Nothobranchius furzeri: one gene and its partners. The protein of the gene in region 1 purifies or fractionates together with the protein of each later gene. This does not show direct contact. Links are inferred from orthologs where the notes say so. Each region holds a gene or a part of one and is shown in the gene's direction. Other genes may lie near its edges. The genes, in order: mgrn1b, mc1r and ankrd46b.

Region 1 (3,755 bases):
CGTCAGGCCAACAGGAGGATGTCCCTTTGGCTGACTGGTTAGCGTGCGTGACTCTCACCTGGCAGTCTGGGGATCGAATCCCGCCCGGGCCCTCGTTTCTCCACCTTGCCACACAAGGAACATTTCTTAAGACGTGTTTCTGCTGTGATTTAGGCCTGTGATGCTGGAAGGCTGAAGATTATCCCGGAGTGGAGAATGCTAAATGGTTTCCTTGGTAAGTGTTGCTGGTTTTATTAATTATTTTTCTAATAATTTTATTAATGTTCAAATAGCATAGCAAACAATAATTTCACACTCAGAAAATTCACACAGAATTTCAGATTCAGCAGAGGCAATAACAGCCTGAATGAGCATAAAGCAAGATCAAAACTTAAGATAACGTTTTCATTATATTAAAATACTTTCTTTTAAGATTATGGATTGTATAAAATTTATACTTTATAAAATATACTGTAATCATTTAGGCTGCGTGTTTATAGCTTGTTTTTGTGCCTTTAAACATGCTTCAGTACATTCAAATTAATCTATTTATTCTTGAATGCCTTTCCACCATCATGTGATTAATTTGTCGACATTTATAAATGTTGTAAGCTATTGTATTTAGCAGAAAATCTTTTTAATTAAATGTAAACAGAGTAAATAAGAGAAACATTTGCTCTGTTTACATAGTTTAACGACATCTAGTGGTTATTTGCTGGTACTACTGCCTTAACAATGACTCTCCCAATGGATAAAATATTAAAAAAATGTCTGATAGAATGTTTAACATACAACACATGACTTATTTTGGCATACCAACCACCAATTTGTAACCAAAGATTAGGCTATGTAAAATGTGAATGAACTTTTATTAGTAACTTTGGTAAGTTTCAGATTTCAATTCATTAAATAACATCGATGGAGGGGGGCCCAAAAAATGCAGCCTGCCTAGTGTAGTCCATTTATTTAATCCGGCTCTGCCTGCAGGAGCCCTACTTGATTCATTTTTTGTGGCTTCTCTCGTTATGCTCGACGTAGCTAAAATGTACAATTTTAGCGTTTCTTCTTTTGTTTGAAACGAGAAGTGAACTTTATGCTTTTAAAGGTGTGTTGATTTTATAAGCTCAATTAATTTGCGCTGGCCTCTTTTATTGTAGGTATGCGCGCCTGTCTTAATTAGCTCCGCACATTCTCCGGCAGATGCCTTTACCTAAAGCAAGCACACTCATTTCCTGGACAAGCCCAGAGACAGCCAATCAGCTCGCCTTCTTGCTACGTTAGCACGTCTCTGGCAAAAACAACAGCTCGAGCCTCAATTTGTGTCCAGTTTCGTTAAACGACTATCGGTTAAACGGAGCTCGGGAAATGTGGAACTAACCACAGCTTTTATTTCTGGTGGGTGCTGTATCTATTTGGATTTCTGTCTAGTCTCACGTCGGGGTTAATTTGATGTGCTGACGCGCTGTTAGCCGCCAGCTAACTGTAGCGAACACCAGCGATCCAACAGAAAAAGATGGGGTCCATCCTGAGCCGCAGGATTGCTGGAGTGGAGGACATCGATATCCAGGCCAACTCTGCCTATCGATTTCCTCCGAAATCTGGTGAGTGATAGACACGGCCACGCGTCGAGACTTAGTTATTTCATAAACAATGACGCGAAGTCGAAGACGCCGACTTCTGTTTTTGGTAATCGGGTTAATAACGTATTGTATGTGATTGATCGTGGACCAGCAGATAAACAGTCTATGAACGCTCGGTCAGGTTTAAATGTCAGGATGTCACATGTTGCTGAAAAATGTCGCGTTTGCTAAGCTGTTTTAATGACTCGAACCCTGTCGGTGAGAGTCAGCATTGTTTATTTGTCACAGAAGTTGGATCTTGTGAAAGTAAAGGTAATCGAAACATCACCTGGGTGAACGAGTAACCCGCATGAATAAATAAATCCTCAAACATTCACTTGTAACCAGTGTGACAGATACACCGGGAGGATTCACTCCACTCCGGCTACTGCAAGGACTCATTTGTAATAAGTGTCTTTCTGCTAAAATCGCGTCTTGCATGTCATGCTTCTGGCACAGTTAATAAACTTATTTTCTCTCCAGGGAATTACTTTGCCAGCCATTTCTTTATGGGAGGAGAGAAGTTTGACACGCCACATCCAGAGGGATACCTCTTTGGGGAAAACATGGACCTGAATTTTCTTGGAAACAGGCCTGTGCAGGTACCAATCAATGCTCGCTTAACTAACGATCCAGCATTATACTATACTATAATGTACTACGTAGGTAGTATATTTTGTACTTGCCAAACACATTTCCAAATCCTCTCAAGAACAGCTTTTATTATGAAACCATTTCAATCTATTTCAGTTGTTTCTCTTTTTGTTTCACCAGTTCCCGTATGTGACACCTGCACCCCACGAACCCGTGAAAACCCTCAGGAGCCTGGTTAACATCAGAAAGGACTCTTTGCGTTTAGTCAGGTAAAGGCTGTGACATAGTATTACATTACCTGCATTTAAAAGTAAACATTTTCTGATAATTTTTCTAAACTTCTTGATTTCAGGTATAAAGATGACTCTGACACCTCAGGGGAGGAGGGTGTAAAACCGAAGGTTCAGTACAGTGTGGAGTTTACCTTTGACGCTGACGCTCGGGTAGCCATCACCCTCTACTGCCAAGCGTTTGAGGAATTCTCCAATGGGATGGCCGTGTAAGCTTTTCACCTTGTAACTCACGTACCTGACACGGTTTGGGTCTAACGGTAACATAGTGAGAGTCCTTTTGTCTGAAACAAAATAAACCATTTATATAGAATCTGTAACATGGTTAGATTTGCTTCTATCTCATGTGTACATCACAGCTGCTGCTATAGTGTGAAGCGTTGTGCCAGAGACACTTAGACTGTGTTTTGTAAGTGGTGAGCTCCAAGCCTCAGAGCACAGAGTCTAGAATAGATGCAGTGGGTCCTTAGCAACGAGTAGTCTCCATGGATACCGCTGATAAGACTGGGATGAAGATGAAAGTTAAAGTCTGTGCTGAAGTTAACATCTTCTGATGAGCAGACGTTGTTGCAATTTTTGTTTTGTTTTGTTTGTTTTGTTTTTTCATATCAGTGCTGATTTCTTCACCGCAGTTAAGGTTTTGTTACAGGATTGCCTTTTGTGGTTCTAGGTACAGCCCAAAAGATCCCACCATGGTCTCTGAAACTGTGCATTACAAGAGAGGAGTGAGCCAGCAGTTCTCCATGCCATCATTTAAAATCGATTTCAGCGAGTGGAAAGAGGAGGATGTAAGTTTAGAGTTTGTCACTACTGCACACAAACACTCCAAATGGGTGTGTGAATTAATATACTATCTTTTTTTGTTTTTCTTTGAAGCTGAATTTTGACCTGGACCGAGGAGTGTTCCCCATGGTCATCCAAGCTGTGGTTGACGAAGGAGACGGTGTGTTAGGATGACTCGTTCATTCTGAAGTCTCTGTAATGGTTGCACAGGTTCATGTTCCACACTAACGCCGCTGGTTGGTTTGTTTGTTTGTTTGTTTTTAAGATTGTCTTGGACACGCTCACATACTTTTGGCAGCATTTGAAAGAGTACGTATGTTTGTTATAACTTAAATACATATGATGTATATAAAGCTTTCATATGAACTCGAACATTTCCTTATCCCTCCAGCATGTTGATGGCAGTTTCTCCGTTAAACCACTGAAGCAAAAGCAAATAGTAAGTTTACTAATATTGTTTGAATATTTTCTGAGTCACTTTGGTTTTTGC
Region 2 (3,462 bases), on another chromosome or scaffold:
ATTTTAGAGAATGACGGTCAATGATAAAAGCTTCCCAGTCAAACAGAGGGCATACGCTCCACGGGAACCGGATCCCCTCAGCACTTATAGCAGCAGCCATTTGCTATCTGCAGCCACATGATGCTTGTGACTGTCCTTGGTGGCCAAATGAAGTCGTTGTTGTTGTTCACCCGGAGCTACAGCAGAGAATGGAGGAAGTTTTCATGTGATTCTTCTGCAGTTCTAGAAAAACACTTTCACACTCAACAGAGGTGTGTGTGTGGGCCTTAGAGGATGCCTGGTGAGCTATAGCAGTTTTCCACAGATTTACTAAGATTACTGTTTTTGGTGACTTTAGGATGTGATCATAACTGCTGCTGAGGATTCAGGATATACTGTATTTGATCATTGATGATGAAAAATGATTTGGATGAGGTTTGAATATCAATGCAGGGTTTCTGTCAAAAACTAAAGGAAATTCAAAATAACGCAGAGCTTTGAATCACATAATTGTTGTGATTTCGCGTTTAAACATTCACAAACAGTTATTTTTATTACTATCTGTATTATGCATAATTTAATAGAAATTATCAAATTAGATTCATTGAATTGCACTTTTAATGCATTAAAATGAAAATTGTATTAATGCCAACTAAATATAATTTATTTTTGTGTAACATATGTCTAACTTGTTTATTTTCATAAATTATGCACCTTATACTGGCGGTGTCTTGTTTCTTTTCTGAATATCAGATGCATTTGTGATACTTTTTAGTTGTTTTTTTTCTGCTAATCTACACATGTTTGTTTCTGTTCAAATAACATTTAAATGTTGGCATCAAATCTGAATTTACACGAGCTGTTTTTGTCTTATTGTTTAAATTAGATTAAAGAATGGGACTTTTTATCCCAAAAGCGTTGTGCGTGACTATCAGGTTCCAGCAGTTCCCTTCAGTCCAGATTAAAATAAATTTTGTCCGACTGGCTGCTTTTTGAATCACCAGATTGTCTATTTTTATAGCATTTAGAACAATTTGACCTCTGAGATGACTGGAAATAAAGGCAAGCAGCAGAAAGTGCAGGTTTACAAAAATCCAAGAATATAAATTCAAGAATGAAATTATTTTAAACATTTTTCTCCCGATTAGGATTATGTCTCGGGAGGTTTTAATGTGTGCTGCTTTAATTTTTAATCTAGCATGACACAGAGAATAACAGCTTTTACATGCAAACACACAAATTGCATTACGCCCACCACTAATTTTACATAAGACACTTTGTTAGGGGTTTTCATACAATATTAACATTTTAAAGAAATTAGTGAAGTCTTAGTGATTCAAGCTTCAACAAAATAAATAAATAAATACATTAAAAAAACACGCTGAGACAGGACCAAAGTCCAATGGATCTGCGCTGGAGGAGGAGGAGGAGGAGTTTGATGAAGTCACTCAGCATCTTCTTCAGTTGCTCAAAAAAAAAAAACTCAATTCCCCAAACCCAACAAGCATTCCGTTTGTTTTCGGCCACCGCGTTGCTCTGGACGGTTTGAGGGTTTTGGTGGTTCGGAACGGGAAGTCCATACAAACAGGATGGATTATTGATGGACTTCGTATCAGCAAACGAGGAGACGCGTTTTTAACGTGGACCCGTCCATCTTGATTAGACGTTTCCACAGCAAAGGGACATCAAATGAACATCATGTAAATAAAGTTTAAAGGATTCTGGACAATTGGCTCACTGAGGAGTTTCACACTTGTTTGGACGTTGACTGGGAGACAGCTGAGCCAGATGTGGACCCCTGCTTTAATGAAATTTCTATACCTCACTGAAATCTGAACTCTGTTCAGTTTTTCAAATATGGACATGGCCAACAGTTCCCAGCACTTTCCCTCCATCCGCCACATGGACTACAGTCCGCTGGGGCACTACCTGGACGACAACGAGACAAACTCCACCGTAGGGGAGAGAGACTCGTTCGGCTGCGTTCAGATCCGCATCCCCCAGGAACTTTTCCTGGCGCTTGGACTCATCAGCCTGGTGGAAAACATCATGGTGATCTGGGCCATCATCAAGAATCGCAACCTGCACTCGCCCATGTACTACTTCATCTGCTGCCTGGCCGTGTCCGACATGCTCGTCAGCGTCAGCAACGTGGTGGAGACCCTATTCATGCTTCTCAACGATCACGGCTTGCTGGACGTGCACCCCGGCATGTTGCGCCACCTGGACAACGTAATCGACGTGATGATCTGCAGCTCGGTAGTGTCTTCACTCTCCTTTCTGTGCACCATTGCCGCGGATCGCTACGTCACCATCTTTTACGCGCTGCGCTACCACAGCATCATGACCACACGGCGCGCCATAATCATCATCGCGGTGGTGTGGCTGGCCAGTGTCACCTCCAGCATCCTCTTCATCGTTTATTACACAGACAACGCGGTCATCGTGTGCCTCGTCACCTTTTTCTGCATCACCCTGGTGTTCAACGCCGTGCTGTACCTGCACATGTTTCTTTTGGCGCACGTGCACTCGCGGCGCATCACTGCATTCAATAAAGGCAGGCGTCACTCAACTAGCATGAAGGGAGCGATCACCCTCACCATCCTGCTAGGGGTCTTCATTATATGTTGGGGCCCCTTCTTCCTCCACCTCATCCTCATCCTGGCGTGTCCCACCAACCCTTTATGCAACTGTTTCTTCCGGAACTTCAACCTTTTTCTCATCCTCATCATCTGTAACTCCCTCATCGATCCTCTCATTTACGCGTACCGGAGCCAGGAGCTGCGTAAAACCCTCCAGGAGCTGCTTCTCTGTTCTTGGTGCCTCGGAGTGTGACACCTTGAGGTTTTCAGTAGACATTTGGAGTAAATTCTCTACAGGTGTTTAAATAACCTGCAGCTCCATGGTGCGCTCAAAAGTTTATGAAGGCTTTTCGCCATCACAGAGCTGGTGCAATTTTTATTTGGATAAGATAATAAATAGCGCTGCACTGTAAAAAATTCTCAGGTTTAAAGGATCAAACAGAGACTTTAAGTGTTATGTTCGCATTTTAGCTCTGTTTCCTTCTCGTTTTTTTTCTGTACAGCCTAAACATGCGTAAAGTGCGTAAAGCATGCGTAAATTATAAAAAAGTAGAAAAAATAGCATGTTCGCTAGAACTTTTCACTTCAAGAATTAGTTCCATCCATCCATCCATCGTCCTCCAGAAGCAGAGGGGTCCTGACTCTTCTCCCTAGCCTCCAAAGAAATTGGTTTTACATTTCTATTACTTTATCACATTTTTATTGATTCTGGAGCAAATAGCATAATCCAAATACGGAAATAATGAATTCAGTGACAAAAACAGGAATTATTGATACTGAAACACATGTTTGATTTGGGATGTGATGTTAAAACCATTTTCAAAAAGCATTCAATGTCTTTTAGGCGGGTTGCACCCGCCCCCCACCCCCCACCCACCCAATAATAAGAACTGACTGAGGG
Region 3 (3,755 bases), on another chromosome or scaffold:
GACATGAATGTTTTTACCTCCTGAGACTTAAACCTTTGATGGGTTTGCATTTTTAACTTTAGCTCTTTGGCATCAGGAGGACATGAGGAGCATAAATAATTACATCCTAAAAGGTAAAAGGTGCTGTTTGCTGCATTTTTGAGTATTGCTAACATAAATCAAGCAATCTCGTCACTGATTTTCTCTTACTATCTATAAAAAAGGAAAGCTCCAAGTTCAAGTTACATTTATGGTGTTTTTCTTGTCTGTGATGTCTGTACATTTCATGATCCATGGTGTCTTTTCTCCAAATACAGCATTAAAATCTGCTTTTTACTCTTATGTGCATTAAAATAGCACTTTTCCCACTAAACTAACTCCATAAGGACCTTTCTGAGAACAATACTGCACTGATGCAAACTGACATGGGCTAAAACTTATGACCCAAGTAATAAAACTCCTTCTCTGTGCTGACAGGTCGTCAATGTGAATATAAAATTCTTAGCACATTAAAGCAAATGTTTATAACACAATGAGCTTGTTTCTGTTTTTGAGATGTCCTTGAACAATATGGAACACATTTAGTATTTTATGCCTTTGAATGATGAAAATATCAAGTTTTCTCTTTTTTCTTTCAATAAAGTTGTGAAACTGGTTCCATAATTCTGGGACAATTAAAAAACTCCTGCATGTAACCTCTATGAACACTGCACCTGCTGATAGCTCTCATTTTTCACTTTTCACTGGTTTTGCTTGGTTTGTATTTGTTGTTTTGTAATCTAGATTGTAATTATTTGTACTTGTATAATAATTACTATTTCCTGGTTTCATTTACTGAGAGAGGAGCAGGTCAGAAATTTAACTGTACATGAAATTTTATTGAAAAATGGCTTCTTCTTTTTTTAATCATTAAGAATGAAACTTATTTTACTGTGTTTCTGATTACTATTATGTTCAACAACATCCTGTAAACTGACTGAAGTGGAGGAAAAGAAAAGCTGTTTTCCTCAAAGAGGATTCATTAAAGAAAGATTTGTTCTCACTTACTTTGAAATAAACTTTAAAAACTATGAAATGCTTTTTTTTTATTTACATGTTTGGGTTCAGTCATTTTATGATTAACTGAATGAAGAATATTTGCATTCAGATGTTTTGCTACAGAATGAATGATGATTAAACTGTTTGGAGTTGCTGCTCTACTACCGTCTCACCGGTAGGTGGCGACAGACACCAAACAAGCTTCAGTTCAGAACGATAACACAACAGGCTAGCAGCGTTAGCGTATCTCAGAGCGAGGTGCATTTTTTTTCTTCTAAATTGGAAACATTTTAACAGGTTAGTGGCACAACTTCCAGCTTAAAGGGAGTCTAAACTAAATGTTTATGATTGTGTGAAAGGGTGAGTTTGTGGATTTTGTATTTGTGATGAATGCTAACTGTAGGTCGCAAGCTAACTCCTCCACTCTTTCTCTTCTTAGCTGTTAGTTGATTGTAATCTTGTTTACAATCCACGAACAAAGTATAAAAGGATACATGTAGACATGCCCAACGCAATGATAAGTAAGATGTTCAAAATGTTCCTCCGCGTCAATGTAAAAGTGGAAGCTAGCCTAAAACGAGCTAAGTTAGCACGTAGCGCGTCACAAAAACAAGATTGTGTTTGCACCAAACGAGTCTATGTTTAAATTTTCGTGTGTCTGTATGGTTCGATGTTGAACTTTTATGAAAAAATACTTATTTGCAGCCGCTTGGGTGTACAAAAGCTAATTTGGGTTGCATGATTAAAAAAACTAAACACGTCGTTTCAAGATCAGGGCAGCAGTTTTCTCTTCAGATCCTACATGGAGGTTAAATGTCATGAACTTAAAATGGAAAACTAATTGATCTTCTCAAAAGTACATATTTAAATTAAAGACACGTCCAGTTTAGTCTATTCTCGTTGTGATGCTCAGATGCAAGCGTGATTAGTTGTGCACACACAGCTCAGCTTTACATTAACACGTTGAGTCAGCTGAAGTGGGAACCTCTACTATAGAAAACATCCTAATGACTGATCTCCTTTTGGCAAACATCAATAAAGCCTGTAACTTAATCCCTCTAGTCTTTGCTTAAAACTCGTTATAATCAATCACTGGCATTCTTTCTGATAAATATGACAGTGATTTATTAATCATTCAAGATTATTTTGTTGTAAACCAGAAATGATCCTTTTTCTCTGCTGCACATCTTTAACTTGTGAAGTCAAATAAATATATTCGACCACCATTCTTTATATTTAGCTTGTTTTGCTCCCTGCAACACTAATTTATTGTCTAGAATATTAGTTTCTAAATATGGTTTTTCCAAACTGACTCGCAAGGAGGGTTAAGTGATGAATTTTATGACTTTACCCTTTTATTTAAAATTTATAAATCTTTTGGGTTTTCTCATTTTAATTACCTTTCATCTATTTTGTTTTTATGATGATTTTCTGACTTTAAGATTTGTTGTTCTTTGTGAAGCATTTAGTGATTTTTTTTTCCCCCTGTGGTAATTGTTGTATAAATAAACTTTATTTACTCAAGTGTCTTGCTCAAGGACACGACTGCAACAGACAGGGCTCGAACTTGCACTCCTCTGTGTTGCGTTGGTGAAAGACCGCTATGAACGTTCACTGGTTGATGGGTGTGATTGTGACTCGGATGTTTGTTCAGATATGAGTGTGTGTGTGTGTGTGTGTGTGTGTGTGTGTGTGTGTGTGTGTGTGTGTGTGTGTGTGTGTGTGTGTGTGTGTGTGTGTGTGTGTGTGTGTGTGTGTGTGTGAAGAGCAGTTAACTGGTTCTGCTTGATGAGGTTTGGGTGTGAAACCACTCTTGCTCCTTCCACTATCAGGCTGTTATAAACAAGTTTGTTTGCCAAGAGAGATTTCTTCTGCCTTTGCCTTTCACCACCATCATTTTTTCTAAACTTGCCTGCTGTCCTTTCAGGTACGCTGGAATATTCTGACACCCACTCGGACATGTCCTATGTCTTCATCAATGACTCGTCGCAGATCAGCGTGCCTCTCCTGCAAGCCTGCATTGACGGAGACTTGCTCTTCGCCAAGAGGCTCCTGGAGACAGGATGTGACTCCAACATCCGGGACAACCGGGGACGCACCGGACTCCACCTAGCTGCCGCCCGCGGGAACGTGGAAATATGCCGCCTCTTGCACAAGTTTGGGGCCGATCTGTTAGCTACGGATTATCAAGGAAATACAGCGCTGCATTTGTGCGGTCATGTGGACACGATACAGTTCCTGGTGTCCAACGGGCTGAAGATCGATATCTGGTAGGTGTCTTTAGTGTAACCTGTTGTCTTTTCTGTTCCTTTGTCTTTTATTCTGTCTTTCTCAACTTAAATTTTACTAAACTTCGTTTAACCATCCTTCTGAATATTTGGAAATGCCTCCAAATCAACTTTTGCAAACCACAGTCAGAATGTGGCCATCGGAAAGACAAGTGAAGCAAACACACAAGGAAGTGGCCAATTATCGGTGCAGCTGTTTGGAGAATAAGATGCTTTAGATACAACACTTCTGAAATTCTCTCGTGAGATTTGACACATACCTAGCTGAATTTTGATTCAGTTTCCCTTTGTCTACTTTATCCTGCATAACTGGTTAAACATGTGGCAGCTTGGGTTAGGGTACCACGACTAAGAGTTTGAAATGACTATAAAAATAAAGTTAAAATATATTGTGCTTTTTTTCGTACTATACAGTACTTACTGAACTTTTCTCAGTTGTCAGTGTCTAGG

What was found.
Region 2: the proteins of mgrn1b (region 1) and mc1r purify together in Homo sapiens (affinity purification with western blotting; 3 studies listed by BioGRID). This does not show direct contact. The link is inferred for Nothobranchius furzeri from reciprocal best matches to the Homo sapiens genes MGRN1 and MC1R.
Region 3: the proteins of mgrn1b (region 1) and ankrd46b purify together in Homo sapiens (co-immunoprecipitation; 3 studies listed by BioGRID and IntAct, counting the BioPlex papers as one, with this or other methods). This does not show direct contact. The link is inferred for Nothobranchius furzeri from reciprocal best matches to the Homo sapiens genes MGRN1 and ANKRD46.

Annotation. Positions count from the first base shown.
Region 1 is NC_091745.1:3,806,067-3,809,821, reverse strand, and holds the start of mgrn1b (E3 ubiquitin-protein ligase MGRN1b), read left to right. Parts: upstream 1-1,269; 5' UTR 1,270-1,492; coding exon 1,493-1,580; intron 1,581-2,081; coding exon 2,082-2,200; intron 2,201-2,372; coding exon 2,373-2,461; intron 2,462-2,544; coding exon 2,545-2,691; intron 2,692-3,152; coding exon 3,153-3,270; intron 3,271-3,358; coding exon 3,359-3,425; intron 3,426-3,530; coding exon 3,531-3,574; intron 3,575-3,656; coding exon 3,657-3,704; intron 3,705-3,755. UniProt on the Homo sapiens protein: E3 ubiquitin-protein ligase. Mediates monoubiquitination at multiple sites of TSG101 in the presence of UBE2D1, but not of UBE2G1, nor UBE2H. Plays a role in the regulation of endosome-to-lysosome trafficking.
Region 2 is NC_091749.1:57,567,793-57,571,254, reverse strand, and holds mc1r (melanocyte-stimulating hormone receptor), read left to right. Parts: upstream 1-1,538; 5' UTR 1,539-1,836; coding exon 1,837-2,814; 3' UTR 2,815-2,939; downstream 2,940-3,462. UniProt on the Homo sapiens protein: Receptor for MSH (alpha, beta and gamma) and ACTH. The activity of this receptor is mediated by G proteins which activate adenylate cyclase.
Region 3 is NC_091742.1:76,204,736-76,208,490, reverse strand, and holds the start of ankrd46b (ankyrin repeat domain-containing protein 46), read left to right. Parts: upstream 1-1,190; 5' UTR 1,191-1,314; intron 1,315-2,944; 5' UTR 2,945-2,976; coding exon 2,977-3,287; intron 3,288-3,755.